Linked DNA regions of Ovis aries. Each later gene encodes a partner of the first gene's protein in a complex. Links are inferred from orthologs where the notes say so. Each region holds a gene or a part of one and is shown in the gene's direction. Other genes may lie near its edges. The genes, in order: ASF1B and histone H3.

What was found.
Region 2: the proteins of ASF1B (region 1) and histone H3 are in contact, whole or in part, in a crystal structure (PDB 5BO0), measured with the Homo sapiens proteins. The link is inferred for Ovis aries from reciprocal best matches to the Homo sapiens genes ASF1B and H3C15. Residues at the interface, in NP_060624.1 of Homo sapiens: Val45, Ala48, Ser50, Glu51, Asp54, Thr87, Asp88, Val90, Val92, Thr93, Val94, Leu96, Arg108, Gly110, Tyr111, Tyr112, Asn114, Glu116, Leu140, Asn143, Arg145, Thr147, Phe149; in NP_001005464.1 of Homo sapiens: Asp107, Leu110, Cys111, His114, Ala115, Lys116, Lys123, Gln126, Leu127, Ala128, Arg130, Ile131, Arg132, Gly133, Glu134, Arg135.

The regions. Positions count from the first base shown.
Region 1 is NC_056058.1:9,899,852-9,904,260, forward strand, and holds the start of ASF1B (histone chaperone ASF1B), read left to right. Parts: upstream 1-1,473; 5' UTR 1,474-1,593; coding exon 1,594-1,702; intron 1,703-4,409. UniProt on the Homo sapiens protein: Histone chaperone that facilitates histone deposition and histone exchange and removal during nucleosome assembly and disassembly. Cooperates with chromatin assembly factor 1 (CAF-1) to promote replication-dependent chromatin assembly.
Region 2 is NC_056054.1:99,937,268-99,939,764, reverse strand, and holds histone H3, read left to right. Parts: upstream 1-1,459; 5' UTR 1,460-1,476; coding exon 1,477-1,887; 3' UTR 1,888-1,937; downstream 1,938-2,497. UniProt on the Homo sapiens protein: Core component of nucleosome. Nucleosomes wrap and compact DNA into chromatin, limiting DNA accessibility to the cellular machineries which require DNA as a template.

The DNA.
Region 1 (4,409 bases):
TGGCTAGTGCCACTGTGAAACAGAACATTCCACGTCGCTTAACTTTCATTAATTAATATTTCAATTTATCACCGACATGAGATTGAGTTCATGGGAAATTTTAACGTATGTTGGGAAACACTTGGGCATGTGAATCTCCATTTCAACTGTAAATTTTATGAAACCTCAACTATTTCCGGTGAAAACCTAGCGTCCGGATCACAGCTGTGGTGTAACGTGTAAAATACACAGGTTTTCAAACCGTTAGTACTAGGTAACAAAATAAAGATACCTCAGGTTCGTGTTTGTTTTTTTTTAATACCGATCACATGTTGAAATGATATTCTGGCTATACTACATTAAGTTTAATATATTTATATATATATATGTAACGTGGCTACTATAGAAAAGTTTAAGATTAGGTTTGTTGACGCCCGTGGAAGCGGACTAAAGGAATGCGGCGGCCCCTCGAGTCTTCCAGACAGGGGGCGACGGTGGTCCCGCCTACGCCTGGGAGTGGAAAGAAGTTTCTAGATGTATTATGTAGTCATAAGTCAGGCCAGTAAAATTTCATCACCCCGTTCAATGAGCAGGGAAATGAGGCCTCGGGTGGTGCGTGGCAGAGGCCGGATTCGAAATCCCATTCAGCGCCGTCCACCTGAAACCTCCCCAGGGGCTCTCAAGTAAGAACCTGATTCGAACCAGGCCCGACTACCGGGTCCCGGGCCCCAGAGCGCCGCGTTAGCGCGGCACCGTCTGCGCTCAAGGGTGAGTTAAACGTTCACAACGTTCACAACGGACGCCCAGCCTGCCGGGTCTGCGGGGCCAGGAGCCCCTTAGAGAAACTTCCGGCAACGCTCACCTGCTGACAGATGCCGATGCCGCAAACGCTGCTCCTTTCTCTTCACACTCTGCTCAACCGCGTCAGCGGCCGACTTCCGCTCCACTTCCACGAATCCCCGGCCGCGTCTTCTCTTCTCCCGCCCCCGCAGCCAACTCAGCCAATCACCTCTCAGGAAACCTGCTTTATCTCCGCCCCATTTCTGCCTGCCAATCACTGCAAGTCCAGCACGTCCCTTCCTTCCCGCTTAAGCGAGCGCTGTGCGCCACCACTCGGCGGTTGACTGCGCTGCCCCCAGCTGGAAGAGTCTCCCGGAAAGGCGGGGCTAATCGCGGACCACGCTGGTGCGGGGACCCTAGGGATTGGCCAAGAAGAGCCAGGCGCTCTGACCCCGCCCACCCCTCCCTGGACGTCCGAGTCGGAGACTCTGGGGATTGGTTCCCCGCGGACACCAAAGAAGCCTAGAGACGGTCCCGCCTCCCTCGCTCATCCCTGAGATGGAGCTCCACGGATTGGTCTCGGGAGTCTCGGCGCGCGCCGACCGGCGCTCCAGGATTGGCTGAGGAAGCACTCGCGCAGTCGTGGAGCGTTGACGGTGATTGGCCGTAGGGTGAGAGCCGGCTATTTGAAGGAGGCGCGCGGACTAGATACGCACTTCAGATCGCGGTCAGAGGAGGCGGGAGCGGGTTTGGGCAGAGCTTCGCCGCTGACCCGACAGGACCCAGGCGCGGGCTCGGCCCCAGCTCTGGCCTCAGCCGTGACCCGACGAGGCGATGGCTAAAGTGTCAGTATTGAACGTGGCGGTGCTGGAGAATCCGAGCCCTTTCCACAGCCCTTTCCGGTTCGAGATCAGCTTTGAGTGCAATGAGGCCCTGGCAGACGGTGAGATTGGGCCCTTGTGGAGACCCCACTCCCCTGAGCTAACCCCGACCTCCCTTTGCAGACAACCCCGAGGCCAACCCTGCCAAACACACTTCCTCTCCCCCTCCCCCTCCCCCAACCGCGATCTCCCTTGAACCAAAGCCCGCCCACCAGCCCCAACCCCGCCCCTTGGAGACTACCCACCGCACCCCACCCCCATGGTTACTCCTCTTTTCCCCTCATGGAGACCACTTCATCCTCCTCTTTCTCCTGGGCGTTCCTCCTGAGCATCTGTTTTCTGTGTAGAGACCTCAGCCTCAGTTCTTTAACCTGCAGAGACCCTCAGCCTTCCCATCTTCCTTGTAGCAAGAAACCCCCCATCTTCTGTTTCTGTATGGACAGACTACCATTCCAGCCACCCAATCCTCCCCCACCAATCCCCTCTCCCCTGTGGTGAGACACTTCCACCTCACTCTTTTCCTGTGGAGATGTAAGCTCTAGCCCCCTCCCGTGTCCCATATGAAAACCGCAGCCTCCTCCCTCATTTTCCCTGTGAAGATCCTCGCCCTCTGGCAAGACCTCACACATCCTTATCTCCCCATTTGTCTCCCCATAATATCCCCTACCTGCTGATACTTAACCCCACCCTACCCCCCTTCAGCTTGTTTCCTACCTCAAAACACATACCCTAGAAACTGGCTTCCCTCCTTAGTCTGGCCCCAACCCTCTACTTCCTCAAGAGAGGCATGACCTGGCTTCCTGCTCCAGTGTTTGAGGATGATCTGGTCTCCCCAGCTCCTCTTCCTTCCTCTTCCCTGACTGTGGGCTTCAATGAACACACTCAGATCTGAGGAGTGGCATGGCCAGGCACACGTTAGCTGGTTCCTGCTGTTGGCCTGCTGGATTCCTGCTGACCCACTGCAGCAAAGCTTGCAACACTTTTGATGGCCTGACCTCGACTTGCGCGGTGTGGGGTGGGTGTGCCAGGCCGAGCCATGGTGATGTTTGGCTTCAATCTGGGAGGTCACAGCCTTTTGTGCACCTTTTCCAAGGTGCTTTCACAGATGTGCTTATTCATCCCTGTGACAAAAGGCGGACATGGCTCTCATCTCACAGATGAGAAGGCGGGAGACAGAGTAAAAGACCTTTCAAGTAAAGGCCTATAAAAACCAGAAAGGCTAAGGTTGTTCAGCGAGTCTTGGCACCACTTTCAGGAGGAAGTACTTCCATTAGATGTCTTCTCTACTTGGTGGTTAGAAGAGAAGAGGCAGCCTCTAAGGAGGTAGAGATCTGGAAGGCAAGGGTGTGCTAAACTAGTCGTTCTCAGTGGTTGGTGGGTGGTTTGCCTACAAATGGGCTTCTCCAACTAACATGGGGTTGAAGAGTTTTGATGTGTGCTTGGGTGGGGCCATTGGATCACTCCCTGCTTTCTCTCGTTTTTAAATCAAGGAGTCATTCTACTTATGACTAACTATAGAATATGCCCAGTTAAATCCTTTCTGGAACAAGGCGGGGTGTAAATAAATAAATAAAGTGTAGAATGACCCTGTGGAATAAGATTTAATTTTAAAGCCAGGAGATGTAAGGAGCTAATAGTTCAAGGGATTCATAGTTCCCAGATGGCAGGAGATCGGGTTTCAATCAGCCTGTTTGAGCTCCTGGCATTTAAAAATGGTTGCATGGTCATTATCTAGTACTTTCATTCCTGCAAAGCTACTGCCCTGTTACTTTATTAATCTGTTTATAGAATCAGGAGAGTCTAAAGTCAACCTGCTGGTCATTGTTTTTTATTTGTGTTATATTTTGTTTAAGATTTATTTATTTTTGGCTGAGCTAGATCTTCGGTGCTTTGCTCAGGCTTTCTCTAGTTGGGGTGAGCAGTGACTACTCTTCGTTGTGGTGCATTGGACTTCTTGCTGCGGTGGCTTCTCTTGTTGAGGGGCACAGGCTCTAGGTGAGCAGGCTTCAGTAATTGGAGCGCTCGGGAGTAGTTGCTCCACAGCATGTAAGGTCTTCCCGGACCAGGGATCAAACCCATGTCCCCTGCTTTGGCAGGTGGATTCTTAACCACTGGACCACCAGGGAAATCCCTAAAGACAGTTCTTTCTTTCCCCAAGGTCATTATTTTTCTAATGGAAACAAAATGATTTTTCCAAGGTCACACAGCTGGTGTGTAGAATTATTCACAACTAGGTCTTGTTTCTGAGTTCTGAGTCCAGGGTTCTTTATCTTTGCTATAAACTGGAAAAGAATGCACCCACTATTTTAGAAGTGAGACATAAACAGGACAGAAGAGGGCAACAGGGTCTTATTATTAATTATACCTGAACAATAAAGCTTTTGCTCAGAAGAATTCCAGTTGGAAAGCCAACTCTGGCCTGGAAGTCTACACTCTCTGGTTGTACCTGTAGGGCTGTGCTTCACTCTGACCTGTCAACATGCTTTCTGCCTCTTCCCACAGAGCAGAAAGGATTTGTCTCCTGCCTCCCAAACAAATGGAGTAGGCCTGGCTTTAGAAGTCTCTTAGATTCTGGAGAAATTCTCAGTCAGCCTTATTACCTGGTAACTGAAGATCTGAACACCCAGCCCCAACTCTGAGCCATTTCTCAAGGGCTCTGAAATGTTTTAACTCTCTCTCCCTCTCCCCGCTCAGCAGCATGTGGAAATAGATGCGTCCAAGGCCTGGGTCTGTATTCAATACATTGGGTGTGTTTTCCCCCAGTTTAGT
Region 2 (2,497 bases), on another chromosome or scaffold:
TTTCATTCTTGTGCTTTAGAATATTATGTAGGCCTTGTCACTTATCCAGGATGAGCCATAACATCTGAGACTCAGTTTCTTTATCTGTAAAATGAGTTAAATAACATCTATTTCACAGAGTTGGAATTAAATAATATACATATAAAATTTTAAAATACTGAGCGGTGCTCTGTATCTACAAGACGTTATTACAAAATAACCACAGGATATGGTAACAGTTGTTCATATCACCAACACTTTCTCACTGATGTTTTAGATCTTCTCCCTATGGCAGGCGATTGCTGCTGCCTAAGGAGACGTCTAATATGAATCAGCATTCTGTTATTAAAGGTGACTTCTAAGGCAACCATATATCACAGATACTGTCTACCTTGTGTTTAACGTTCAGGAAAAACTCTCAAAATCACTTTTAACTTCAGGAAAGTGATCATCATACCTTGGAGCTATGTTTTGAGCCTCTTGGGCCTAATTTTATTCTCAGGTTTGAGTTTTTATATGGGATGTTGTTCCAATCAAATAAGCATATTTTAAATATATTTGTTAGTTATTAAAATTTTAAGCATTGGTAACCTTACATAACTTTTGTTTTATTATATGTAATTTTCTGAGAAATTCTTCAAAGCACAGGAAACAAAAGGCAAAAGATCTTAAATTTCTGTATAAAGAATATAAAAGATTTGAAACTGTAAGCATTAGGAAACACTTTATTGAAAATATGCTAGCAACTCAGTAATCAACGAATAATTTATGTGCTTTGATCCTTGAACGTTAAATGACTAATAAGCAACTTGACTATTTAAAACTATTCACTATTGTAAGGGAGAAATTAATATTTCCGGTGTTATTTTCCCTTACTTAAAGCGTTTTGTCCATAGGACCTAATTATGCATTGATGGATTGAGGAGAAAACCGCACTCGGGGGATGGGGGGAGGCAGACGGCTCTGAGTTGGTAAGCATCAGCACACAATTTTGGTGTAGTTCCGAACCGGGTAAAGGTTAAGTTTAATTTCCGGTTCCTTCAACTACATATTGTTTTGTTGAACCTCAGTCGTAATGTAGCTCTCGCTTAGCTCAATATCAGGAGCTAAATAAATGTTAGTTATGGGAGAGGAGTTACAATAACTAGTAAGTGGAAATGCAGGCTGAAACCTAGGGCGTGCTTGTATTCTTAAAGAACTTGCTAAAATATAAATCCCAAGCGTGCAAAAATACTTCATAGATTGTTCTTACGAAAGTTAACAGCAATATAAAGAAAAGGGCTTAAAAAAAATGTGATAAGATTATAGAAAAGGACTGGAAAATGGAGGTTGTAAGTAAAGAAACTAGCATTACAATCTTCTGCCCAAATAGGATTGAATTCTAACCAATGAGATTACAATTTCGGAAATTGCTAGCTTTTCTGGTCCAATCAAGACTAGGCTACGTCTATAAATGAGACTGCCTAGGGGGTCGGTGAATAAAACCTGTGAGATACTATGGCGCGTACGAAGCAGACTGCCCGCAAGTCGACCGGTGGCAAGGCGCCGCGGAAGCAGCTGGCCACCAAGGCGGCTCGCAAGAGCGCGCCGGCCACGGGCGGCGTCAAGAAGCCGCATCGCTACCGGCCGGGCACCGTGGCCCTGCGGGAGATCCGGCGCTACCAGAAGTCGACCGAGCTGCTGATCCGCAAGCTGCCGTTCCAGCGGCTGGTGCGCGAGATCGCGCAGGACTTTAAGACCGATTTGCGCTTCCAGAGCTCGGCCGTGATGGCGCTGCAGGAGGCGAGCGAGGCCTACCTGGTGGGGCTGTTTGAAGACACGAACCTGTGCGCCATCCACGCCAAGCGCGTGACCATCATGCCCAAAGACATCCAGCTGGCTCGCCGCATCCGCGGGGAGCGGGCTTAAGGCGTACTTTTAAAAACAGACGATCTAAAGGCTCTTTTCAGAGCCACCCACGTTTTCTTAAAAAGCAGCTGTACCAGCTTTCACTTTAGTCGGTGAACTCTTAATGCACGAGTGTTACGGGCAAAGCGGGTAGGAGAGTTTAACACGCGTAGAGTGGTGAGGTTATGGAATTAAAGCTGACAGACACTAGAGGGAGCCCCAGAAGCAAGGTCTGGGTCGTTTTTAACTGCGCTTACAAGCTGGTTTTCTTTCTTAATGCAGAGCTCCAACCTAGCCTTATTTTTTTTTGGAGAACCTAACCATTGCTGAGAAAACTTTGCAAGAAGCTAAATTCTCTGCTATTCGTTTTTAGCGCTTTCCAAGCTGCTAGTACAAAACGTTAGCACAAATCTGAATACTGAAGAAGGCCGTCATTATGTGATAACTGTAATCGGTTTCAGCTCAATTCTACAGTTACTAGAATTAGGCCAGATGTTAGATAAAATCCTCGGTCCCCAAGTAGTTTCTCGGTACTTCAACTGTTAAGAATGGGGACAAGAATCCCGAGATACGTAGGATCCCATCTTCCTAACTGCGTGAGACAGAAGGCGCAAACTGTAAAAAAAAAAAA